7 linked regions of the Mus musculus genome follow. The main gene of each other region encodes a partner of the protein of the gene in region 4 in a complex. Links are inferred from orthologs where the notes say so. Each region holds a gene or a part of one and is shown on either strand. Other genes may lie near its edges. The genes, in order: Med21, Med31, Med23, Med12, Ccnc, Cdk8 and Med25.

What was found.
Region 1: Med12 (region 4) and Med21 share a complex: the UniProt entries of both Homo sapiens proteins name them as parts of the mediator complex. The link is inferred for Mus musculus from reciprocal best matches to the Homo sapiens genes MED12 and MED21.
Region 2: Med12 (region 4) and Med31 share a complex: the UniProt entries of both Homo sapiens proteins name them as parts of the mediator complex. The link is inferred for Mus musculus from reciprocal best matches to the Homo sapiens genes MED12 and MED31.
Region 3: Med12 (region 4) and Med23 share a complex: the UniProt entries of both Homo sapiens proteins name them as parts of the mediator complex. The link is inferred for Mus musculus from reciprocal best matches to the Homo sapiens genes MED12 and MED23.
Region 5: the proteins of Med12 (region 4) and Ccnc are in contact, whole or in part, in a cryo-EM structure (PDB 8TQC), measured with the Homo sapiens proteins. The link is inferred for Mus musculus from reciprocal best matches to the Homo sapiens genes MED12 and CCNC. Residues at the interface, in NP_005111.2 of Homo sapiens: Ile6, Leu7, Ser8, Tyr9, Glu10, Pro13, Leu14, Lys15, Arg18, Leu19, Pro22, Asp23, Val24, Tyr25, Asn47, Pro49, Ala50, Val51, Asp54, Glu55, His56, Gly57, Ser58, Ala59, Lys60, Phe64, Pro66, Ile69, Asn72, Phe73; in NP_005181.2 of Homo sapiens: Gly3, Asn4, Phe5, Trp6, Gln7, Tyr11, Ile15, Asp17, Gln19, Asp20, Lys23, Gln49, Glu53, Leu57, Arg58, Gln59, Ile62, Tyr153, Arg157, Pro158, Gln161, Tyr162, Asp165, Leu173, Pro174, Trp177, Arg178, Ile179, Asn181, Asp182.
Region 6: the proteins of Med12 (region 4) and Cdk8 are in contact, whole or in part, in a cryo-EM structure (PDB 8TQ2), measured with the Homo sapiens proteins. The link is inferred for Mus musculus from reciprocal best matches to the Homo sapiens genes MED12 and CDK8. Residues at the interface, in NP_005111.2 of Homo sapiens: Pro26, Gln27, Gln31, Glu33, Asp34, Leu36, Asn40, Val41, Lys42, Gln43, Gly44, Phe45, Asn47; in NP_001251.1 of Homo sapiens: His143, Ala144, Trp146, Phe180, Asn181, Ser182, Pro183, Pro186, Ala208, Arg209, His210, Thr212, Lys213, Met273, Pro274, Pro320.
Region 7: Med12 (region 4) and Med25 share a complex: the UniProt entries of both Homo sapiens proteins name them as parts of the mediator complex. The link is inferred for Mus musculus from reciprocal best matches to the Homo sapiens genes MED12 and MED25.

The regions. Positions count from the first base shown.
Region 1 is NC_000072.6:146,645,579-146,648,339, forward strand, and holds part of Med21 (mediator of RNA polymerase II transcription subunit 21), read left to right. Parts: intron 1-1,598; exon of another isoform or gene 1,599-2,224; intron 2,225-2,586; coding exon 2,587-2,701; intron 2,702-2,761. UniProt on the Homo sapiens protein: Component of the Mediator complex, a coactivator involved in the regulated transcription of nearly all RNA polymerase II-dependent genes.
Region 2 is NC_000077.6:72,212,531-72,216,830, forward strand, and holds the start of Med31 (mediator of RNA polymerase II transcription subunit 31), read right to left. Parts: upstream 2,801-4,300; 5' UTR 2,459-2,800; coding exon 2,431-2,458; intron 1,686-2,430; coding exon 1,608-1,685; intron 1,344-1,607; coding exon 1,247-1,343; intron 1-1,246. Other genes in the region: 4930563E22Rik (uncharacterized protein C17orf100 homolog), read left to right, coding at 2,801-3,190. UniProt on the Homo sapiens protein: Component of the Mediator complex, a coactivator involved in the regulated transcription of nearly all RNA polymerase II-dependent genes.
Region 3 is NC_000076.6:24,911,008-24,914,029, forward strand, and holds the end of Med23 (mediator of RNA polymerase II transcription subunit 23), read left to right. Parts: intron 1-1,655; coding exon 1,656-1,820; 3' UTR 1,821-2,522; downstream 2,523-3,022. UniProt on the Homo sapiens protein: Required for transcriptional activation subsequent to the assembly of the pre-initiation complex. Component of the Mediator complex, a coactivator involved in the regulated transcription of nearly all RNA polymerase II-dependent genes.
Region 4 is NC_000086.7:101,287,591-101,291,090, forward strand, and holds part of Med12 (mediator of RNA polymerase II transcription subunit 12), read left to right. Parts: coding exon 1-42; intron 43-458; coding exon 459-592; intron 593-759; coding exon 760-921; intron 922-1,540; coding exon 1,541-1,652; intron 1,653-1,815; coding exon 1,816-1,905; intron 1,906-2,427; coding exon 2,428-2,537; intron 2,538-2,734; coding exon 2,735-2,870; intron 2,871-3,500. UniProt on the Homo sapiens protein: Component of the Mediator complex, a coactivator involved in the regulated transcription of nearly all RNA polymerase II-dependent genes.
Region 5 is NC_000070.6:21,726,511-21,730,500, forward strand, and holds the start of Ccnc (cyclin-C), read left to right. Parts: upstream 1-1,190; 5' UTR 1,191-1,373; coding exon 1,374-1,405; intron 1,406-3,886; coding exon 3,887-3,990. UniProt on the Homo sapiens protein: Component of the Mediator complex, a coactivator involved in regulated gene transcription of nearly all RNA polymerase II-dependent genes.
Region 6 is NC_000071.6:146,300,312-146,303,374, reverse strand, and holds the end of Cdk8 (cyclin-dependent kinase 8), read right to left. Parts: intron 1,800-3,063; coding exon 1,674-1,799; 3' UTR 501-1,673; downstream 1-500.
Region 7 is NC_000073.6:44,889,565-44,893,675, forward strand, and holds the start of Med25 (mediator of RNA polymerase II transcription subunit 25), read right to left. Parts: upstream 2,801-4,111; coding exon 2,667-2,800; exon of another isoform or gene 2,581-2,666; coding exon 2,535-2,580; exon of another isoform or gene 2,501-2,534; intron 2,344-2,500; coding exon 2,219-2,343; intron 1-2,218. UniProt on the Homo sapiens protein: Component of the Mediator complex, a coactivator involved in the regulated transcription of nearly all RNA polymerase II-dependent genes.

The sequences.
Region 1 (2,761 bases), on a different chromosome or scaffold from region 4:
GAGTTCCAGGACAGCCAGGGCTACACAGAAAAACCCTGTCTCGAAAAACAAAACAAAACAAAACAAACTATACTTAACAAGAATCATGTATGCTAGGCTAGCATCTATCAACTGAGCTGTATCCTTAACCCTCTCACTATTTCTTTATACTTGGCAACTGCTTTGTTCACAGAAAAGAAATCATGCGCTTTGTACGTTACATTTTTGTTGTTAGCATTGGTAGATATATTTGCCAGCAGATTTTCTCAATCTCAGACTACCTTTTAAAATTCTTATTTTTAGCCAAGTGGTGGTAATGCACACTTTTAATCCCAGCACCTGGGAGGCAGATACAGGAGGATCTCTGAGTTGAACCCAGCCTGGTCAGCCTGAGCAGAGTTCAGAACAGCCAGGGCTACACAGAGAAACACTGTCTTTGGGGGTTGGGGCAGGGGAGTACTTATTTTGTTTGGAATAAGTTTTGGCATATGTAGCTCAATACTTACAAAAACAAAAGGAAGATTACTCTTGTTTGTTTTTTTCTTTGATTGAGACAGGTTCTCATGTACCCTAGGTTGTCCTCAAACACAATTCTGAGGGTATCCTTGAAATTCTTATCCTCCTGCCTCCCGATCCTGGGATTACAGGTGTTTACTACCACCATCAGTGCTATGGATCAAACCCAGGGCTTCATGTATGCTATGCAAACAACTTTGTGTATGAGTGTTTGTGTGTGGTTTTAAGCGTGTATGTGTGTCTGTGTGTGTCTGTGGTATATGCAGGTGCACTTAACCTGGGTACATTTATGTAGAGACCAGAGTTGTCTAAGATTACGTTTCCTTATTTATTTATTTATTTATGAATAACAAGGTCTCTCAATGAGCCAAAAGCTCATGTTTTCAACTAGATTAGCTGACCAGCAAGAATTTAGGGTCTCAGTTGTGCGTGCAGGGGAACCAAATTTGTGTTCTTGTGCTTACATAACACCTACCTAACCCTTATTTTATTTGTTTGGTGGTATTAGTTTTTAAAATTAGCATATGGGGCTGGAGAAATGGCTCAGCAGTTAAGAGCTTGGCTGTTCTTTCAGAGGATCTGGTTTAGCTCCCAGCATCCACATAGTGATTCACAACCATCTAAAATATCGTCCCAGATGATCTGATGACCTCTGTGGGCACTGAATACTCATGGTCCACATGTATACCCACAGGCAAAACACCCATACACATAAATAAATAAAATTAAGATATAAAATGGTTTAGGAGGCTGGCAAAGTGGCTCAGCTCAGTTAAGTAAAGACACTTGCCACCAGATCTAACTTAGAACCCACACTGAAGAAGAAAAGAACAGACTCTTGCAACAGTCATTTTTCTTTGGTATCTTAGGATCTGTTGAGTTATGATTTGCAGGAGTCTTTTTCTTCTTCTTTTTAATGTGTATGAGGGGTTTTTGCTACATGTAAGCGTATGTACCATGTGGTTGCCTGGTGTCTGAAGAGGCCAGAAGAGGACATCAGGTCTCCTGAGGTTATAGTTATAGTTGTGAGCTGCCATGTGGGTTCTGGGGGTTGAGTCCAGGTCTCTTCAAAAGCAGCCAGTGCTCTTTTTTTTTTTTTTTTTAAAGTACAACTTCCATTTTATTTTTCCAGGGTAGTTTTCCTTCTGTCCTTACAAAACGGCCTCTTTACATGGGCTTTGGTGGAGGTCGAGGTGCAGCGCCAGCAGGTCTGAATCGTGGTGGGGGTGTCCGGTCCTTCTGGGCTTCTCGGGATCGATTCCTAACGACCTTGCTATGGATGGCACAGCTCACGCAATAATGCAGCTTGACATAGAGCTTGGGAAGCACGTAGGCGTCGAAGACGCTTGCTTCAGATATGTCCCTGACAGCAGCGGCTTCTACAATGTTCCGAATGACAAACTTCTTGATGGCCTTATCCTTGGGCACGTACCGGGCACAGTTCGTGCAGCGAATGGGCTGCACATGGCCACGGCCCTTTTTGGCACGACCGTTGTTTCTTCTTTTTTTGGTCATCTTGGAGCCAAGACTCGAAAGAGCGCAGCCAGTGCTCTTAACCATTCAGCACCTGTGTCTCTATTGCAGTTTGTATATCTGCTGGGATGGAGATCTGGTTTTATTTGTGAGCAGCCTTTTCTTGAGAGCTCAGTCTCTAGAGCCACTCAGAACAAATCATTTGGCCAAGTCTTTGGTTTTATTGTGTAGTACACCCTGGCTGGCCTTGAGCTCAGAGATCAGCTTGCCTCTTCCTCTCAGGTGCTAGCATTAAAGGCATTTGGCACCGTAGCCTGACTTTCATGTATTGATTCTTTAAGCTAGATTGATACCAAATTTAATTTTACCTAGACTGATAACCAAACTTAAGTTTCTTTGTATGATTAAACCATTTAATCCAAACTAGATGTAAATAGATCCCTGGAAGAGTGAGAGTTTTAGCTGCACAATCTGTTATTGTTAGTAATAATGGGCTCATTTTCCTTTGTCTGAGGAGTTTGCATAGAGATCATTATTATGAGAAGATTGTTGCCATTTTTAATAAAATCCTTTCATTGAAAACTCTTTGTAACCTTGACTTTTTTCCTTTTGCTCAAGCTTGCAGATCAGTTTTGTAATGCCATTGGTGTATTACAGCAGTGTGGTCCTCCTGCCTCTTTTAGTAACATTCAAACAGCAATTAATAAAGATCAACCAGCCAATCCTACAGAAGGTGAGGTCTGCTTAGTTTAACTAACATTTTCTTCTACGATTTATAGCTTCTTTGTAAAAA
Region 2 (4,300 bases), on a different chromosome or scaffold from region 4:
TCCGGTCTGAAAATTTGCTAGCATGTAACATTTTATATCTTCTAATATAACTTCAAGTCTATCATTTGGATTCCTAAAGGAATCTATAATTGCATCATGAAGAGCAAATCTACAGGCAGCAAATCAAGTCAGGAAGGTAACGAGGATAAAAAGAAATTTTTGAAATGTTTTACTCTCATTTTTAAAATTAGAGTCTCTGCCGGGCAGTGGTGGCGCACACCTTTAGTCCCAGCACTTGGGAGGCAGAGGTAAGCATATTTCTGAGTTCAAGGCCAGCCTGGTCTACAAAGTGAGTTCCAGGACAGTCAGGGCTACACAGAGAAACCCTGTCTCGAAAAACAAAACAAAACAAAACAAAACAAAAAAGAGTCTCTCTGTGTGGACCTGATTGGCCTGAAATTTGCTACATAACCAGGCTGGCCTCAAACTCATAGAGATCTACCTGACTCTGTTTCTTGAGAGCTGGGATTAAAGGGATGCCAGGCTAAACTTCTGGTTTTTCTGTTGTCTCCTCCTTTGAGAGGCACATCTAGACAGGGCTTACCTGTGTAGAGCTTGCTGCCCTGGAAGTAGCTCTGTAGACTAAGCTGGCCTTGAATTCATGTGCCCACCTCTGCCTCCCAAATGTTGGGATTAAAGGTGTGTGCCAGCTTCTTCTTCTTCTTTTTTTTTTTTTAAGTCAAAGCTATTGAGTTTGATAGTGTCCGTGTTTGTTCTTTTACAGTGAGTTAATGTGTACAATACATTTAGCACAGTGCTCGAAACAAAGAACACTCACTATAAAGAAGGGCAGTACCTCTAAAACTCCCAGAAAACAATACTTCCTACCTTCCTAGATTATAGTTTGGTAGGCATTAAAAATCCAGAAAGACAAGGGCAGTGCTAAGTGACAAGGTTAGACACCAAATTACATTAGAACTATAGTCTGAAACCAGTTGACTGGATCTTAGCTAGCCTGCATGAACAGAAGTGGTGTGTTCTGGCTTATATTACTTAGAGAGTAAGCTGGCTCCCATGAAGACAGTTGTTTGGTTCTGTTTGAAGGGAGTGAGGTAAGAATGGTAGCAGAAATAAATGCAATTCCTAAAATAATCTAAGTTACAGATGACAGTATCTTACATTAACTAAAAGCAGAAAGATTCAAAATATCATTTTCCATTCCCACACAGAGAAAACTGCTCAGTATCAGCACTTTGTATTTATGATAAAGTATACACAGATTTAGGATTATAAAAATTAAACTTACTTTAGATATTTGGCATATTCTGGTTCTTTCCAGTAAAGCAAATACTTAAGATAATTAACAAAAGCTTTGTCTTTGAAGTAACCTCTTTGGGCAAGAACTGAAAGACACAAAGAAACAATCCGTATGTCAACCAACCGCTGGACTACTGATTAGTAATCTCTAAAACAAAGTAGCTCTTAACATCCCTACCAACAGAACACAAGGAATTAAAAACACAAGCCTTTGTTTGCCCAGTTAACTTACAGACCAGAACAAATAAAATCCCATTCAAACACATCGAAGTAATAAATAGTATTACAAACTGCATCTCTTCTCAGAAATTAAGAGCTAGTTGCTTAAGTTAGTGATGTACTTAACTTACAATTAAGGTAGTTTGGGTTGGCTAAACATTGCACAAATTCCAACTCCAACTGAAACCGAAGCCGATTTCCAGCATCATCTAGGAGAAAAGACAAATATCAAAGTGCAGAAGAGACTTTCTTAGAAATTAAAGATATATGTATATGCGTGTGTGTATATATGTGTGTGTGTGTGTGTGTATATATATATATATATATATATATATATATATATATTCACTAAGTAATGAGGCCCTGTTTCCAAAACAAAAATAGTAAAACAAAAAATAGTAAAGAAATCCTTTAAAGTTAATTGAGGAAAAAATAAGTTGAATGGGAATTTACCACCTGCAGGCCACTTTGTTAGCGGAGATCACTGGACAGTCTGTAATAGCTGTGCGGTTCCCTAAGTTGTTATAACCACAACTATCAACTGTGATTACGTTAAGCAAAATCAATGTGCTACACAAAACCGAAGCATGATGCAAAGTGATTAAACAATGGAGAGAAGGCGGTGTCCGCATTAGAATACACAGGTTATCGATATTTCGGGCAAGTTCTTGGGAGTACCTTCAGCACAGACAGTGGAAGGTCTCAGTCCTCTCCCACGGCCCTGCACGGCCCCAAGAGCCAGGGTTGGAGTAGGGGTTTGAGCAACCCAGGAGCAAAGATGTTTTCACAGACCATAGTCTGAGAAGCAGCACAGCCTTCTCCTCCGCCGGTCCCAACTCTAAGGATGCCAAGTTGAACCCGAAAGACAGCGCAGGAAAAGGGAAAAGGGAGGGAATTTCGGGGCGTAGGACCATTCCCTTGGGGTGAAGACTCGGGGTGCAAGTCACAACGTACCTGTCTCCATAGCGACGGCCGCGGCCATAACAATCAGAGTGAGGCGAACACCACCAGCCCCGACCGAACCGCGACTTCGATTGGTGAGAATCCGGAAGCCACGGCTCCTACTTCCGGTCGCGGGGCAGAGTGGGACACGAGGGCGGGGACAACCTCACTTATGGGAAAATTAGCCCCACCTATCTGTGCAGACCCGGCCGGCTGCGCGCGCAGATATCGAGCGGGGCGTGCCGGAGGACTTCTCATTTTTTAGGTCTCAGAGTCCTGCTACCTACCCCGACGTAATACACCACCCTGACGTCACCTTTCCCTGTGTGACGTGACGCAGAGCATGATCCTTGGGCCTCTTTGTCCCACCTGACCAAGGTGTATGGGCAGGATGGCCTCGCCCCTTAGGAGCAAGTCCTCCGCCCCGCGAGTGGAAAGCACCCGCCACAAGGAGACATCGACTGTCCGCGTGGAGACGTCGTCCCACCGCGAGGAAACGTCATCCCACCGCGTGGAGACGTCCTCCCGGCAGGTTCGAACGTCTTCCCGGCAGGTGGAGACCTCCCAGCGCCACCGAGAGGGGCCCTCCCTCACCCCCTCCACGAAGCGACTCCCTCAGTTCCTTGAGGTGTCCTCCCAGCACGTGGAAACCTCCTCGCAGTGCACGGAAACGTCCTCCCGCCACGTCAGGGCGTCGTCATCCCTGAGGGTGGAGACTACTGTGCACCGTGTTGAGAGCCCAGCCAGGCAGAGTGCCAGAATGGCTCGATGAAGTGCCAAAGGTCCTTAGCCAGGACTGAAGAGTTGCCAGCCAGCCATCTTCCAGGAGAACCGAGCATCTTTGGTTTCATGGAAAGAACCCATAAATCAGTGTAAGAAACAGGCTGTGGTTTCTGGGGGCTGTTAACATGTATTGACATTGCAGCACCTTAGACCATCCTGTTGTTGACCCCAGTGTGCTATTAACTTGAAGCCAGCACAGAAGGTTTCAGACTGGTAGTGCAGTATAAACCTGGCTGATGGACAATGAGATTCTTTGAGTCTCTACACCAGGTAAGTTTTATAGTCTTAGGTCACTCTAGGATGTGTTGACGACTTGAAATTTGCAAAGAGGGGCCAAACTTGTCATGATTCTTGACCGCTGGCCTGATCATATACCTGCTTGAAACCTACAGGGCAAGGTATCATCTTTCATACATTATTAATTGGCCTTTATTAATACTTATATTTCATTATACATTTTCTCATGTTGTCATACATAGTATTCCACCCACACTTAAAAAATTAAATCAGGGGGTATAGGAAAAAACAGGACAATTAATAAACAATCAATAAAACCATTAATAATCTTGGAAGGGAAAGTAAAGAAGAAGCCATGACACTTGGCCTGAGGCGTGAGATTGACAGGATGGTAACTGAGTATTACTGCATGCTAGGTAGTAGTTAGAGCATGGCAGCTAGAGCAGTGGAAAAGACTAGGATCTTCCTCTAATGAAGAGACATGCAACAAAGGGGAAAGTAAGACAACATGCTGTTGTATTCCCGCGAAGGAAAGGCTGTCTGTCTTGTGGTAGAGAGTAGGGAACTCTTTAGAGAATATGGTCAGGGAAAGCCTTGCTGATTACATTTGGTCCGAGATTTGTGTGAGTGGACAGTGAGCCATATCAGGATCTAGAGGGAAGTGCATTCTAGACAGAAGGGAAAGTCTACATTTTTTTTAAAAATCAAAGATGTTTATGTAAGAGAAAGATCAGTTAGTATATGAGAGCGTGGTATAAGGAAGAAAACAAAAAGGAGGAAGATGCCACTTCATATAGAGTCTTGGAAATCTTCTGGGATTACAGTAAAGAGCTTGAATTTTATTCTGAGATCATCAAAAGAA
Region 3 (3,022 bases), on a different chromosome or scaffold from region 4:
CAGGAGAACATAATTCTAGATACAGTGATAAAGAAACGATCTCTTAGCTTTCCCTGTGGTGTTTGAAACAGAACATCAGAAAACCCCCTAAGGCATCAGTGAGTAGGCGCCTCTTTGAATAGTCTGCTCCCCTGGGAAAGCTGGTGGTATGGCTAGGAAGACCTCTCAGGGAAGGAGGCTCCCCCCCCCACCCCATTGGCTAGGGCACATTATGGGATGTTGAACACACAGTGGTGCAAGTACAAGTCACGCCATGCTACTCAAGAGGCAGGCTACTGAGAGTTTCTGAAGAGCGTGAGGGTTCTTAGCCTGAAGAACAGAGTCCCAGGAAGATGTCCTCATCGCCACTGCTCAGAAGGTTTTCTTCCCAGGCGTCAGATTTGTTCTGTCATGTGACACAGCAAGCCCCGTTGCGAAACTGAAGGGATGCACCCTAAATCAGGAAGAGGCATTTCCTACTACAAGTGGCAGGAAGTGGGAAGACCTTAGTGTGTGTTGCATGTGTAGGAAGCTGTGAGCTGTTCTGGGGGTGTCAGTAAGGCACATGGCTGCAGTGAGCCTCTCTCCTCGGTGCCTGGCCGCTGTTTCCTCTCTGCCAGGTTGGATTTCTGTCTGAACAGCACTGAACAGTGGGCTTCATTGTAACGTTTCCACACTGGCGTGTGCTCTTTAACCATATTCACCGCTCCATCATAGAAACTTAATTGCTGTGTCAGCATGGATACTGGCGTATGGAGCTGATGACAGGAAGACCAAGCTCCTTCACACCTTCACAGCAGTGTCAGACTTAACACTTCCCCTCCTGAAAGCTTTTCTTTTTGTTTCTGTTACCACACATAAAAATGGGCAGAACTGATGAAGATTTTTTTTTTAAAAAGATTTATTTATTATATGTATATGGGTACACTGTATCTGTCTTCAGACACACCAGAAGAGGGCGTCAGATCTCATTATAGATGGTTGTGAGCCACCATGTGGTTGCTGGGATTTGAACTCAGGACCTCCAGAAGAGTAGTCAGTGCTCTTAACCGCTGATCTGTCCCTTCAACCCACTGATGAAGATTTTTAAACCCAAAATGTATTCTTTGTATTTGGACCTAAACTTTGACATAGGAATAAAACAAAAAGAAACGTTGCTGACATTCCAGTCCTTCCCCTGAGATCAAAGAGCATTAGAGCTGAGAAAGCCAGGACGCTGGTGCGTCTGTCTCCTTATCGTGTTCTGAGTGCTGGCCCTGCAGACATTCCTGCTGCTCGGGTCTAACAGTATGACGAGTCCAACTGTAAAATCAAGAAGACAGCTTTGGGGAGAACTATTGCAAATGCTTTCTGCTTCTGCTAACATTGCATTCAGATTGGCTCAGAAGGATGACCAAGTTGGTAGATGTCCATCTCCTCATGGGAGCAATTGTAGTTGTGGATAGCAGGGTAGCTAAGCAGGTAGATGGGTCATAAGTTCTTGAAGTGCATGTGTAGACAGAGACAGGCACGTACACACAGAATGTATATACACAATGTGTGTGGGAGTACACATGTGCTTGCCTGTGTAAGAAAAGAATTGTGTGCCAGCTCCCCACTGTGGCGTACTGTTGACAGCTGATGTCACTCCGTAAATGTGGACTCTGCTTTTCCGTAATTGTGCTCTCGCTTCTTAGGTAGAGAAGATTATCTGTAATTTAAAGCCGGCTTTAAAGCTTCGTCTTCGATTCATCACGCACATTAGCAAGATGGAGCCGGCAGTGCCACCCCAGGCCCTCAACAGCGGGTCTCCAGCACCTCAGTCTAACCAGGTGCCAGCATCTCTGCCGGTGACTCAGTGAAGCCAGAGGCACTGTGACTGATGCAGAGGAGTGGACTCACGTCTAAATCTGAACACCGTGCTAGTAAAACGAGAGCAGCCACCATGTTCAGATTGGTTTATTCTGATTCAAATACTGAATCCCTCTCCTTGTCTATGTTTTGTCTCTAAGAGATAAGTAAGTTACATGTTGTTCATATTCATATCACTTTATTCAAATCCCTAGGAATGTGGGCGTTTCTATACTCAAGTGGCTTTTACTAGGCACTCTCAGACTTCCTGTCTTAGCCATTTTTAAATTATTGTAAGTAACATCTTTACATCTTGTATACCTTACCTTGAAGATGCGACACATGTGAAATGGCCATTACAAACCCTTTTGTACATAAATGTCCTTCCAAATAGAGCCTTTTTATTAATAAAGGGCCTTGTACTTCACTTGGAACAAAGGACGTTTCATACTCTTGTCTTTGGTTTTTTTTAATTGCCTATAAAATTTTTATTGTAAATTTTAAATTTCCAAGTGGTTCCAAGTAAGGGATGCCAAGTTTCTACCAACGTAGGTTATGGGAGTTTTGCTTCGCTCTGAGCTCTCTGTATGAAATGAAACCATCAGAAAGTTAGAAATGAAATAAAGCCGTGCTCAGACGTCTGATTGCCTGACTGCTTTGTAACTGAATCATTCGCCTCTCTGGGGCCATGCTCACCTGAGTCTTCAAGTCTCAGAATTTTCCTAACTTCACAAATTTTAAATGTACATATTTTAGTTCTTTAAGGCTTGATTTTGAGGTGCTAATTTGAAGGGAAATGGCACTTAAAAATTCTAAAGCCAGCAAAGTTGAACAAATAAACTGTTTCTTTAAAGAGCTACTATGATCTCCTACAGCCTGGAGACTGCCTTAGTGTCTGCACTACAGGTGTTAGCATCACCACCCTGCAACCCCGAATTATTCTCTGTAAAAAACTATAATGGTGAATCCAGCCAGCCACTTCTCAGATCTGCACTGTGAGTGTGTTCCTCTGAGGCCCTGCGGCCACTTCAGCCTCACATGCCATGTATGCTTATCTTAAAATTATATCACAGTATCGCTAATGTTTCTCGGCTAATAATAAATAGTCTTAGTCTTCTCCAGAAACTTTAGGAATGACCCCAAAGTTATTCTTATCATAATCTTCAGTATATTCTTTGTGCCACAAGGACTAGATTTCTTTGCTTGAGATCCT
Region 4 (3,500 bases):
TCTTTGGAGCTACAGTTGATGATCAAGCAGACCCCCAACACTGTAAGTCATGTCCCCAGGCCCTCCCTCTCCCAGGCCCACTTCCAGTTCCCTGTGTCAGGGATATCAGCCATCATAGAACTGAGGTCCTACCCTCAAGCTCCTGACTGAGAGAGATAAGAGGGGTGTGAGAATGACAGACACGTGGAGCTGGTGATAAGGACATGGGCTGAGAGTGTGGAGCCTCCTCTGTGGACAAGTATTCCTACAGTGCTAATAGAGCCTGTTTCTGTGGCAAAGGAGAAGACAGTAAGGAACTGTAGACATACAGAGGTACAGGAGGGTACAGATTCTGACGGTTAAGTCCCTACTGCCAACCTCTACGATGCCCTCCTTCAGCTCATCTCCCATCCCTCCTGCCTTGGTTCTCCTTACTGCTAGCTGCCTATTTAGCCCTTCTGTTCCTTTTATTCTCCCAGGAGATGAACTCTCTCTTGGAGAACATTGCCAAGGCCACAATCGAGGTTTTCCAACAGTCAGCAGAGACGGGGTCATCTTCTGGAAGTACAGCAAGCAACATGCCCAGCAGCAGCAAGACCAAACCTGTGCTCAGGTTTGCCAGAAAGAAATTAGGATTTGTCCCTCATGAGTTTTTTCTACTGATACCATGAATGATGGTTTTGAAATAGTGATACTGGACATGCCCAGGGGAAAGAAATGAGAGATTATTCGACCTTGCTTAGCTGGCTCCCCTGAAACCCTATGTCCTCTGTCTTCTAGCTCTCTAGAGCGATCTGGTGTATGGTTGGTGGCTCCTCTCATTGCCAAACTGCCCACTTCAGTCCAGGGCCATGTATTAAAAGCTGCTGGGGAGGAACTGGAAAAGGGTCAGCACCTGGGCTCTTCTTCCCGTAAAGAACGAGATCGACAGAAACAGAAGAGGTAAGGGGCTCTGGTCAGTAAGGAAGGACTAAAGAGTGGAATGGAGAGGAGGTGGCAGGACCAGGAAAGAAGAAACATTGGGCCAAGACGTAGAGAATAGATAGGCCTCACGAGAAAGGAGCATTTGGGTGGGGTGTAGTAGTATACGCCTTTAATCCTGCACTTGGGAGGCAGAGGCAAGAGGCTCTCTTAATGTTTGAGGCCAGCCTGGTCTACATAGCAAGTTCTAAGCCAACTAGAGCTACATAGAGAAACCATCTCTCAAAAAACAAACAAAACAAAAAAGGGAAGGAAGGAAGAAAAGAATGTGGCAAGTTAAGAGATTAGTGGCATGGCCAAATAGGAGGTTACATCTTAGTGTTCAGCAAGATGGCTCCATGGGGAAAACTGCTTGCTGACAGCGTTGAGTTCAGTTCCCAGGTTACACATGGTGAAGAGAATCAACTTCCACAAGTTTTCCTCTTGACTGCATGTACAAATGGCATGCACATAAAGTAAGACACATAGAAAACTGAAATGAAAAACGGGTTTTAAGTGTAGAATCTGAGACAAGGGAGTTAGAAGGTTCTTGACCTATGGTCTTCTTGTCTCTCTGCCCTTCCCCTCCTCGTGACTCTAGCATGTCCCTGTTGAGCCAACAGCCTTTCTTATCACTGGTGCTAACATGTCTGAAAGGACAGGATGAGCAGCGCGAGGGACTCCTGGCCTCCCTCCACAGCCAGGTGCACCAGGTACGGGTATCCGGGGTCTTGGAGGTGACATCAGGTTGGGGAAGGGTGCATCTAAGAGGCCACTGCATGCTTGGACTCTTCATTATTTTCTGATTAAAAACATTTAATGACTTGGAATAGAAAGGAGACTCCTCGCTACATGTTAAACTTGTTTCTATTCTAGATTGTGATTAATTGGCGAGAAAACCAGTACTTAGATGATTGCAAACCAAAGCAGCTAATGCATGAGGCACTCAAACTGCGGCTCAACCTGGTGAGGGGGTCTTTGTGGAAGGAGGAAGGGGTGGAGTTGAAAAGACAGTTAAGAAGCTCCAGGTTAGGGAAGACAGGTTTGAGGATAGAGGTCCTAGCTTCTTTGAGGTCTTCCAATATTGACTTCACTTTCCTGAAATGCAGGACCTTAAAATTATCAAAGGAACCAAATCCCTGTGGTCAGGATCCAATAGACTAAATAGCTCGTATGCTTGCAGGAAGCCTGCCTCAATATTCGGCATTCTGGCTTGGCCCTAGAGTACTAGAAACCCACTGTGGAATGTTAAATGGGATTACAGAATTTGTTTAGTACAAGTCCCACCTCTTTATAAGTAAGGAAACAGATCCTGACATACCAACTTCAGCCACTGGCCTAACATCAAATAGGAAATCATAGGTACAAGTGACAGGACAGGGCCTCAGTGGGTCTCAGCTCTCACGCAACCAGGTTCTAACCTAAGCTTGTCTCAAAATCCTGACCATCATCACCTTGACCTGTCTGACTGCCTTGTGGTCCTGTCAGGTGGGGGGCATGTTTGACACTGTGCAGCGTAGTACCCAGCAGACTACAGAGTGGGCCCAGCTTCTCCTTGAGATCATCATCAGCGGCACTGTGGACATGCAGTCTAACAAGTGAGCATCCCCAACCCTGAAGGAGTCCCTACCCCGTGCCAGCCACGTGAACCACGGGCTCCATGGCCCTGGGTTCCTCCACACAATCTCAAGACCCTTGGGATGACATCATCCTTTCCTGCCTCTGACGTCTTAGGGCCCCATTTTCTTAATCTCTTGCTCCTTTGGTTTTCTCCCTGGCTGCTTGCCTGCCACAGTGAGCTCTTCACTACTGTGTTGGACATGCTGAGCGTGCTTATCAACGGAACGTTGGCTGCAGACATGTCCAGTATCTCGCAAGGCAGCATGGAGGAAAACAAGCGTGCATATATGAACCTGGTGAAGAAGCTTCAGGTGAGCGGAGGGGTCAAGAACAAGGTTTGGGGGTGCTGGAAACTCAGCTCCTTCTGTCCTGACTGTATTTACTGTGCAGCCTGGGAGTGGGGAGTGAGATGGGCCCCCTTTCCTCCCCTTTCCTATCTGCTCTTTTTGATCTGTCTAATGGGGATTTACTGAATGCCATTGCCTTGTATTCTAATTTGTTGGTTTGTTTGGTTGGTTGGTTTGAGACAGCATCTCACTTAGTAACGCAGATTCTCCTACAACTCATTATATAACCCATACTGCACTTAAACCCACAGCAATCTTCCTGCCTCAGCCTCTTAAATGCTGAGATTATTTTGGGGTTACTTTGGAGGGGGATCAGGGGGCTCTTTTATATATCCAAAGCTGGCCCTCAAACTTAAAACACTCTTACCTCAGCCACCCAAGTGCTAGAATTAGAGATGTATACCACCATGGCCAGCTCTGAGTGTCTTTGTTTTTAAGAATTATTTATTTTATGTATGTGAGTACATTGTCACTCTCTTCAGACACACCAGAAGAGGGCATCAGATCCCATTTCAGTTAGTTGTGAGCCACCATGTAGTTGCTGGGAATTGAACTCAGGACCTCTGGAAGAGCAGTCTGTGTTCTTGACTTTCT
Region 5 (3,990 bases), on a different chromosome or scaffold from region 4:
AAGAACTAGCCAGCTTTAGGAAATACCATGAGAATGAGACGAATTTTCAAGCTAAGTTGGGGGTATAACAATGTTATAACAATGAAGCCTAGTCTAGCTCATCCAAATTCAAGAATAAATGTATTTCACAGGTTAATTGTGTACGTGCCTAAGTGGGTGGAATTTAAAAACATCTTTTCTATAGTTGGCATACTAGTTTCACTTATAGAAATTGTTTTCACTCCATTCCACATCTCAATTAGACTCCACTCACAAAGGAAAAACATTGGTGCTATCTTCCTCGGAATTCTTGACTAATTTTCAGGTGTGCCCAATCATTTAGAGACATTTTTTAATTTAAATTAAAACTTAAAAGATTTAGATAGATCCTCACCTGTCCTAGGCTGGCCCAAAACAACGTATCTGAGGGTATTGAATACCCTTAGCTTGCAGGTGTATATAGTGCTGAGTATCACCCAGAGCTTCTGGGGCACCAGCAAGCATTTTACATCCTTGATTATCTACATCCCTTTTCCTCTTTTCCCCTAGATGGCGTCTCAGCATGAAGCAAGGACTGGCCTGAAACTCCTCATGTTCTTGACTCTGCCGCCGAAGTACAGTACGAAACGCGAACGCAAAGTTGCAATGATAACAGCAACATTTAAATATTATTTAATTGCATTTCTGCGGCATACCCATTTGGAACGTAAGTGTTAGCTAGATGTACATTTATATGCTCATGTTTTTAGGTAAACAAGTAGCCGGCTCTGACATAAAAAGATTGCTACTCTAAGTTAAGTCTACACTTAACTCGTTAGGCTTAATACCGACAGGAACTTTACTAAGAGCACTTACATCTTAAGGCCAAAATTACTTTCATTTATTTCTCCTTTCAGCCCTAGGGAAAAAGCAGTCATATACTGCCATGCTTTCTTCAACGCCAGTGTGCTATTTCTGAAGGCCTACACCGTGGATTAACAAGATCCCTAAATGGACCCAAAAGAAAACCGCACTAGACCAGAAACCCAGTGTGTGGACGCTCTGGAGGAGAATTGGCAGGAAACCTCGGGGAGAGCCTCTCGCCACCGGGAGCCTCCGCCCGTGTTTCCTTAGCTCCCGCCTCAACAAGCCCATTGGCGGTCGGGCGGTTGCTAGCTTCCTCCGCAACTAGGGCGGGCCGGAACTTTTGTCTGCCGGAACCGGTGTACGCCGCTCAGTGTTGTCGACCGGCGTCAAGGCGACGAGGGTGCTGTTCTCTTCCTCCGGCTGCGGTGGCTGTGGAGTTCAGCCCAGCCAGTCTGGTAGGAGCACAGTCGTCCGGACTGTGTCTATGGTCGCTCCGCGGGCCGCTTTGCTGGCTGGTGCATTTGTATCAGGGCAAGCAGTATTATTCCATGGCAGGGAACTTCTGGCAGAGCTCCCACTAGTAAGTGAGCTTCCATTTTCTCGCCTGGGGCCGGGGCTGGGGCACAGGAGGGCTGGGCCTGCCCATCCCTCGGGGTTTCCATCCTGGCCGCTGCGGGTGAGCCCTCCCTGGGAAGCCGGGGGTCCGAAACGTGATGCTGTCGTTTGCGAGCCTCCCCTCTTCTCACAGAGAGATTTCGGGAGCAGAGGGGAGGTGAGCTCGAAGGATGGGTAAGAGGTAAGGGGTTTGATCTCCGGGAAGGGAGTCGGAGGCGGTTTCATTTCAAATTTGGGGTTTGATTGGTGGGATGATGTGGGCACCGGCAAGGGAAAGAGTGACCCATTGTAGCTCTGTGAGGTTCCCTGCTTTGGATGGACATGGTTGGCTATTGCTAGCTAGCTTGTTTGTTTGTTTGTTTTTTCATAGCAGTGATATTATAATCTCTTGTCATTCGCCTTACTGTAGATTTAATATTTACTCAGAGGAGAGGAGTGAGTCGTGCTTGTTTCTACCTGCTGCTTCCTGGCCCAGCCTTATGCCTAGATTGACACCACTACCCCCATCCCCGAAGCAGTGTTTCTCACGTTGAGGGATGGCTGCCCTAAAACTCACAGGCTGGCATCGAACTTAATGAAATCTGCCTGCCTCTGCTTCTGCTTCTAAGTGTTGGAATTAAAGGCATGAGCCACCAATTGCAGGCTCCTAAATTGACTTTAATGCTTCTAGAATTTGCGAGCACAGGGGCTCTCAAAATATATCCATTTTCATTCATTAGCCAGTGTCTTATATTTTGCCTTAAAGTCGTGTATTTCCCAGATTTTGTCCTCTTCCTTTAACCACTTAAATCACTAAATTTTAATGTCTTTCAGTGACCATGGAAGGGCTAAAGTAATCTTAAAGATATTTGTCTCTAAATACATTTGGTTAAACATGCAGGAAGTTGTATGCTTGGGCTAAGCGTTGAGCAGGCTTTCCACTAAATACATAAAAAATGAACAGGACTAGATAGAGACATTTAGTTTAATTAAATTTTAGTGGGAAGAGAATAACAAAATTTTAATTCTGTGAATTGGTTTGCTTGTTTCCCTCTTTGCCTGAGAATAAAGAAGAAGAAGGGGGAAAAAAAAAGAAAGAAAGAAAACTGAATTTGGAAACCTGTTTCTGAAAGCAGGTCCTCCCTTGCTACCAAGTGTTTCTGGGAAGATGAAAGGCCAATGAAGCATCACTGGGGGACATTATTTTACATTGTTCTCACTCACTGAGATGTTTCCATTAAAAAAATGAAATACAAAAGGGGATGACCCAAAAAGGTGGGATAAAGCTTGGGCCTGTACTTAATCCTGGTGCTCAGATAATGCCTTGATTGCCTGTCTCAGTGACATAATACTAAGACAGGCAGTAGTAAGTCTTTGGATATAGCAAGAGTCTATCTTCCAGGATGGTTCTTAGTCTAGAGGGTCTGAAAACCTGTGTGCTGGTGTTTGGTACACATGACACTATGAAGGAAATTGAGAAAGAGGTAGAGAAGCTTTGAAACCATCAAGAGATTCTTTACCCTCAAGTTTTCCTGTTTTTTGTTTTTTTCTTCAAACGATCTTGCTGAGGCTGCCAGTGGGCTGCTGAAAAACTAGAGAACTCTGATGAATAACTTACCTGAGAGTTTGAAATGGCGTCTACAGCATCCTTGTTAATCGACCAGACAGTACGGGAGTCACACTGATTGACACAGATTTATATCCAGCAAAGCACTCACAAATATATTCCACTCACAAATAGCACTCACAAAAACCAAAGAGATTTTATTGGTCCAACAAGACTGAGAAACTTGGGGGTGATGGTGAAAACACTGATTGAAAAGGGGATTAAATTAGAAAAATATAAAATTTGCTCCAGGTCTGAATGTATTTGAAACAGGTGAGCATGTATTGAAGAACTCAAGTATTTCATTGTTGAACATAATTTACTAAGGATTTTAGAGACCTATTCTGAAGAGTTAATGCTGAAGTTTCAGAGGTAAACTGGTGCTCTACCTCAGCTGCATTCCCAGCCAGACACTGTCTTTTATCAATGTTTTAAGTACATACCTCCAAATAAATAAATAAATAAATAAATAAATAAATAAATAAATAAATGGAGGAAGAAGAAGCTGGGTGAAGCACTGCATGCCTTTAATCACAGAACTTGGTGGTGATGGGGAGGGGCCGATCTCTGTGAGCTTGAGGCTGGTCTGATCCATGGAAGGAGTTCCAGGATAGCCAGAGCTAACCAGAACCAAACAGACAAATAAAGACAGAGAGAGGTGTGCCTCGTAGAAGATGGTAAGCTTATTGAATCTTAATGTTTTAAATGCTTTGGCTTGTTGGCTTTTTTCCTATAAATTTATTTATTCACTTTACATCCCAATATCAACCCTCTCTCCTCCCAGTACCTCAAGCAGCTCCTCCCCTTCCCATCCCTGCTGTTGCCTTTCTATGCCATGTTTTAAATCTTTACCTTCTCTAGTTTGCAGTGGATTTTGGATAAACAAGATCTGTTGAAAGAGCGCCAAAAGGACCTAAAGTTTCTCTCAGAAGAGGAGTATTGGAAGTTACAAATATTTTTTACAA
Region 6 (3,063 bases), on a different chromosome or scaffold from region 4:
CGTGTAAGGGTCATAAGAAACACCGTGAGAGCTAAGGTTGACAGAAACCAAACACAACCACTCAATTCAGAGGGTTAAGGAGGGACCTGTGTGATCAAAGGCATGCAGTATGGGTGTGAACAGGGGTGAGAAGACTTGGAAATGCCACTCCCAGCAACCCCCCTTTCTCTTCTGGTCAGGCCTACCAGTACTGATTCCTCAGCTCGTGGACTGCGCTAGATTGTTTTTAAAGGGATGGCTTCAGATTTTGAGAAAATATCTGTTAGCTCTAAAAAGGAGGAACCAAGGGTAACGGAGTGGAACTACCATTACCAGAACTAGCCGACTATAAAGCTACCTGTCCCCTGTGCTACAGACCTAGACAGCTGACCAGAGTGCACACCTCAGCCTAAGCCATCAGTTGTCACCAATAAGTCACTGGGAAGAGTTATACAGAGGCATGTTTTAAAATACAACAAAAGACCCTTGGTGAATTTGAAAAATATAGTTGACACCATACATTGATTTATGAAAAATAAATTTATTACATAACACCTTGTTTTTAACAATGTTCAATTTTTTTTTATTCAGAATACTTGTGTCATTCATGTAAAATAGTTTGATACAGTACGTTGTATGTTATAGCTTTTTATTTTCCCCTCAAAAGTTCTAAGGCTCTCCTACTCCCTCTCCTTTGCTGAAGTAAGGGCACCCTAAAAATGTGCGAACAACCTTTTAAAAAGAAAGTTAACTGAACAAAATTGTAATAGCACTACACTAGGCAGCTTCAAATCAGGACAGAAGAGTGCGGACTGACGCCGTGCCTCGCAGAGGTCACCGTGCCTCGAGGAGGTCACCGTGCCTCACGGAGGTCGCCACTCATGCTTTTGTATTCAGAAAGCATGCTCACAAATCAGCAACACCAACGAGGAAAAGAAAACCCTGTCTGCAACACTCATTTCAGTTTGCTGAACCAACAGGCTTCTATCAATGACAACATATTTAATTACTATCAAATAGCAGCTTTAAGACCAGTCAAGTCGTCATAGGTTGAAAATAAAAACAAACCTCTAAGTTGGAAATTAATCTTTGGGAGCTCTGAAACCTGTCAGTAGAAACTATGTGGTTCTTTTGTACTTTCAAAACAATCCAAGCAATATTCTTGGTCATAAAACACTGATTTATGTAGAAGATGAATCAACCCACTGATAAGACACTAAAAAGAAAGGTGTACCAAAATAATCTTTAAATCTTGGTTATTTTGTTAACATAATCTGTGTTTCAAGTACCAGTTAAACCTTGCGTCTGTGTGTACTATTGGTCAGATCACGCTGTTACACTCAAAGTCACCACACACGAGGACAAATGCTCGCCCTAGCACATTTCACAGCTTCAACTGCTACAGACTGTCACTGAAAACTATGCTTGGTCAGTCTGAACCATGTCAAGTAAACTATGGAAGTAGCAAACCCACAACACAACTGTGCTAGCACTTTCATTTCAAGTCTAACTCCAAACTTAGGTACAACCTGGAAGCTACCACCCCAATCTGTGACAACTGGTGGAACTCGGCTACTGGACATTGTGAAGATGTGGTTGTACAGTACATTCGCATGGCCCACACCAGGTTCCCGCGAGTGCCGCAGCCAGTCCTGCAGCATGAGCAACAGTGCACTGACAGACTCCAGCACAGCTCAGTACCGATGTGTCTGATGTGAGTACTGTGGAGGCTGCTGGGAGGTAGCTGAGTATCCCATGCTGCTCTGGGGCTGTGATGTGCTTGGTCCAGGGTTGGGATAAGCAGCATGTGGATTGGAACGCTGGAAAGAAGACGAGGGAAAAGCGTGATTCAGGGACTTCTCGAGGTAGCTTGGCCCCACGCCATCAAGGCTGATAGGGAAGGGAATCTTGTTTCAAAGAAGCAAAGATGTATAAGTTTCTGTAAGGCACTAGCTTTAGAATTAAAATATAAAAACACTGGCTAAGCAGCAGCAAACCCCTCAGCTGGCCCATACAAAGCAAAACAGAGCAAAAACAAACAAAGCTCCCAACTCTTCCCACATCAGCTTCTCTCCAGGAAGGTAAGAATTGGGACACCATGTGGGCAATTCTGATCATATCTTGCGACATGAGCATGAGGCACTCAGTGTGTATATCCAGAGTATATAAAAGCTCGTAGGCGGACTGCAGAGATGGCTCAGCGGTTAAGAACACTGACTCTTCTAGAGGTCCCGAGTTCAATTCCCAACAACCACATGGTGGCTCACAACCATCTGTAATAGGATCTGGTGCCCTCTTCTGGTGTGTCTGAAGACAGCAACTGTGCACTCACATATATTAAACAAACAAACAAACAAACAAACACGTATTTAACAAAACAAAACAAAACAAAACAAAACAAAACAAAAAAAGCTGGTAGGCATGGTGGCTCTCTGTAATCCCAGCACTTGGGAGGAAGAGACAAGATCTGTAGGGGAAGCTGGTCGGCTAGACTAGCTAACATCTGCAAGCTCTGGGTTCAGTGTAAGACACTGCCACAGTAAACAAGGGAAAGACACCTGATATCAACTTAGGGCCTGAACACACACACACACACACACACACACACACACACACACACACACACACACACCACATTCTTACATCCACATGCCTGTGTGCCCACACATATAAAAACATACACAAACTCATACATCCTTCATGAGCTGCATTCTACCATGTAAGGGCACTTTCTGTGCAGGGCTTCCCCAGGCAGGCCACCATGTTCAGAACACACAGCCACTCAGTCTTCCCACAGCTTCACATTCTAGTCACTGTTTCTACTCTGCTGCTGCTGATGCCGTCTGCAAGCGATTTCTGTTCTACCTTCCTCCCCACACTTAAGACATGGAGAACATCCAGGTCTCTCTCTTACTCAAGGCTGAACAGAAGTAGGTGGGATCTAAGAGCCCGTGGCCTTGACTCCTCTTCTACAGTGCTCAGGAACAAAAGCAGCCATTGGCTAAGTTCAAGGCACACATGTTTAAGCTGACTTACCAACTTCATTTTATAGATGAGAAACACTGAAGCTGTGTTTTGCTTCAC
Region 7 (4,111 bases), on a different chromosome or scaffold from region 4:
TGGTTAGGAGCACTGGCTGCTCGGATTCCAGAGCAGCTGGCAGCTCAGAACTGTCCGTTACGGACAGTTACAGTGTCCGGCACCCTCACACAGACATACATGCAGACAAATCATCAACACTGTTTTGTTTTGTTTTGTTTTTTTATTTTGGAAGGGAGGTTGCAAGTGTTGTGGGTGGATATGAGGGGACAGAGAGATGAGTGGGTTAAAAAAATAAAATAAAAGATTTATATAATCCAAGCTAGGTATAGCAGCTCAAACAAGCAAACCTAACATGGGTGAGGCTGAGGCAGGAGGATGGAAAGGACTGTGTGGTGTTTAAACCAGACTAAGGGCCTAGAAATGAATCAGTGTTCAGAGCACTGGCTGCTCTTCCAGGGGATCCAGGCTGCAGTCCCAACACCTCCATGGCACTGTGTAACTCCAATTCCAGAGGATCTGATGGCCTCTTTTGGTCTCAAAGAGCACCAGGCACAAGTGTTGCATATACAGAACCTCGTACACATTAAATTAAAAAAAAAAAAAATCTGTTTTAAAAACGTGAGTGCAAGCCGGGCGTGGTAGCGCACGCCTTTAATCCCAGCACTCAGGAGGCAGAGGCAGGTGGATCTCTGAGTTCGAGGCCAGCCTGGTCTACAAAGTGAGTTCCAGGACAACCAGGGCTATACAGAGAAACCCTGTCTCGAAAAACCAAAAAAAAAAAAAAAAAAAAAACCGTGAGTGCAAAGTGTCAACAATGTCAAGGATGGGAAGGCTGGCTTTACATTAACTCTAATCCTAACAACTTCCGGGAGGGGGTGGGGCAGTGCACAGGTCAGCTTTCCATGCCACCTACCATGTCACACACACACACACACACACACACACACACACCTGGAACACAGCAGACAAGCAGACATTCAACACACACCTGCTTCATCAAAACAGGATCTAGATCAGCACCGCTATATGAACCTTGACCACAACACACCTGTGGAATCCACATGGCGAGGTTAGCCCCAGCGCCCCTTCAACCCTTCCAATGCCCACCAGTCTACACTGTTATTCATTTGCAAACCAAGACCAGGAACAGGGCAAGCAGTAACTTTGGGCACTCACGCACTGCTTACTGTGTGCTGGGCGGCAGCACCCTACATGGCTCTGGTGGTCTGTCCCCAGGGATCCCACTGGTCACCCATTCTTATCTGGACCAGGATAGACTCACCTACCAAACAAGTGGTGACAAAAGTGATGGACTGTCACTTGGTCATCAAAAAAGCCTGGTGGCTTCCTCTTTGCCCCCTGGATTCACTCATTCACTCTGAGCAGAGCCAGCTGCCAATCTGGGCATCACTCTGCTATATGCCAGGGCATGATGGCAAAGAGCCAGCAAGGAACTAAGGCTCTGTCCACAGCCGCAGAACAGCCATCATAGCCATCACGGCCTCATGGCCGTGGCTCTTTCAGGCATGCCAGAGAGTGGATGAACACAGCCCTGTGAGACCTGACCAAACACACACGGCCTGGCTTATCCTCCTGAGTTCCTGACATACAGATGGCTTCATGAGGAGCAACTGTGCATTCTGAAATCCTTAAAAGTGGGGTGGGAGTGGGGAAACGTTATACAGCAACAGACAGTCAAGAGCACTGAGAACAAATACGAAACGAGCAGCACAAAGGACCCTGGGACCCGACAGTCAAAGAGTTATCTGGGAAGAAGCCATGACTCTAGGCTGCCTGGCTCTACAAGCTGGTCATGGTGGCAGGTGTCTGTAATCCCAGCAACCAGAAAGTAGAAGCAGTCAGATCAGCAATTCAAGGCTACACTGTGCCAGGTGTGGTGGCCCATGCCTCTGATCCCAGCACTTGGGAGGCAGAGGCAGGTGGATTTCTGAGTTCGAGGCCAGCCTGGTCTACAGAGTGAGTTCCAGGACAGCCAGGGCTACACAGAGAAACCCTGTCTCGAAAAAAAACAAAAAAAAACAAAAAAGGCTACACTGTAAACTGTGACCCAACCACGTAAGGAGCTCTCAGGGCCCAGACCCATCCTGCAGACTCCTCTGGAGTAGACAGACAAGAGGAAGAAAGAAGAAGCTGACGGTAACTGGACACTCAGACAGGGACTGTGGTGACCCACACTGAGTTCTGCTGAGTGCGGGGCACTATTCAATCACAGGCCACCCTGCCCACAGTCTTTCTTGGGGGTACCCATCCTGCCCCAAATGGAGGCAAAGCTCACTTGATGCCATCGAGCCAGGTGACAAACTCATAGGCACTGCTGGTAGGTGCGTGACATTGTACATAGGACTCTGGAGCGCAGTCCACGGTGTTGAACACCACAAGGCTGTACTGGGTTCCACCATACTGGGAAGAAAGGACAGAACAACTTTACAACTGAGATCTTTGGCAAGGAACAGGCCATCCCAACTTCAGATCATTTTAGAAATAAGCTGTGAGCCCTTCTTCTCTCAAACCCAAGACTAAGGACCCCATCTTTCCTCCCTCAGACACAGGGGTCTACCGGCTTCCATCCCGTGACTCGGCCGCGCACTCACGTCTCCCCCAAAGTCCGTCTCTGCAGGGGGTCCCCCGTTGAAGTACCTGCAAAGACGGAGGAAAGGCGGGGTCGGCACGAGCTTTAGGTTAGCTAGGGCGGCGGGAGGCGACGAGAGGTCTCGCTCACTCACTCTATGGCAGGCAGCAGGTAGTGCTTGCGGAGCTCCTCGAAGTACGGCCCCAGGTTTGCTGTCCCCTCGATCACAAACACCACATCGGCGACCAGGCCCCCGGCCCGCGCCGGGCCTTCGGATCCGGGGACCATGCCCCGCGCCGCCGACGCCAGCGCCGCTGACGCCGTCGCCGTCCCGGGACGAACAGAAGTGCGCTTGCGCGGTGTGCGCAGCCCCGCCGGACGTCTGGCAGCTTCTGCTGATGCTGATACGGCCATGTTTGTGCGGGGCATTTTGCGAGCCGTGGTTTTATCTCTACCCTGGGGCATACCAACAACACGAAACTCTCAGAATGGGCACAACGAGCCCCTTTAAGGGCCTCTTGAAATCGAGCAAACTTTTGCGCACAACATCAAGCACGAAATAAATCGAAAAACGGCACATCCGGTCACCATCTTGGAGTCGAAATCTAGTTTCCGACTCCGGGCTAAAGGGAGGGTCGGGAATCCGGTTGCTAGGCAACGCGTACCCATCCGTTGTGGTCTCACACAGAGATTAAGTTAATAAATTCTGTTCTTTCTGACCGGGAACCGATGAAAGAGAGCGGTCCAATCACATCATTGGAAACGACGTTGCTAGGCAACACTGTAAAGTTGCCCGGGACTTGGAAGCGAAGCAGTTGTTTTTGCTGGGAAAGAAGGGAATTCCAATTTAAGTGGAGGTTGCTAGGCAACACCTAATCTCTGTTTTCTGGGAAAGAAGCCAGAAACAGAATCAAAGAAAATACATTCCTTATTAAAAAAGAAAAAAAGAAAAGAGAAAGAAAGAAAAGAAAAAAAGAAAAGAAAAAAAAGAAAGAAGAAAATAATAATACTATATATATATAAACAGTGCAATAGTAATGTCTGGTATAGTCGAGAAAACTGAGTCTCAGCATTGTAGCTAACAGCATAAGCCGAAGTGAATATAAAATGACCTGGAAACTTATGTGTGGACAGAAATTTACTAAATAAAGCGTACTAATGTAGAAAGATACAAAGCCGCGATGGCGCACGCCTTAAATTCCAGTGCAGAGCAGATGCAAGTGGGACTGAGTTGCAGTATCAGTCTACAGAGTGAGTTCCAGGACAGACAGGGCTGCACAGAGAAACCCTGTCTCGAAAAACAAAATAAGAAAAAAAGAAAAAGAAAGAAAAAAAGACAAGCGATTTTTCAAAACGTAGGTGGCAGGCATCCAAACTTGGCTCACTTGCTTGCATTTGCAAGCAGGTTAGCAACTGAGACATTGCCCCAGACCTTGGTTTTTGGTATCTCTTCCCCACCCTCCACTCCCAAGGCAGGCTTTCTCTGTGTTAGCCTTGGCTGTCCTGGAACTTGCTCTGTAAATTTGTGGAGCCTCCCAGAACTCAGAGATCTGCCTGCCCCTACCTCTGGAGTGCTGGGATTAATGGCACACGCCACCC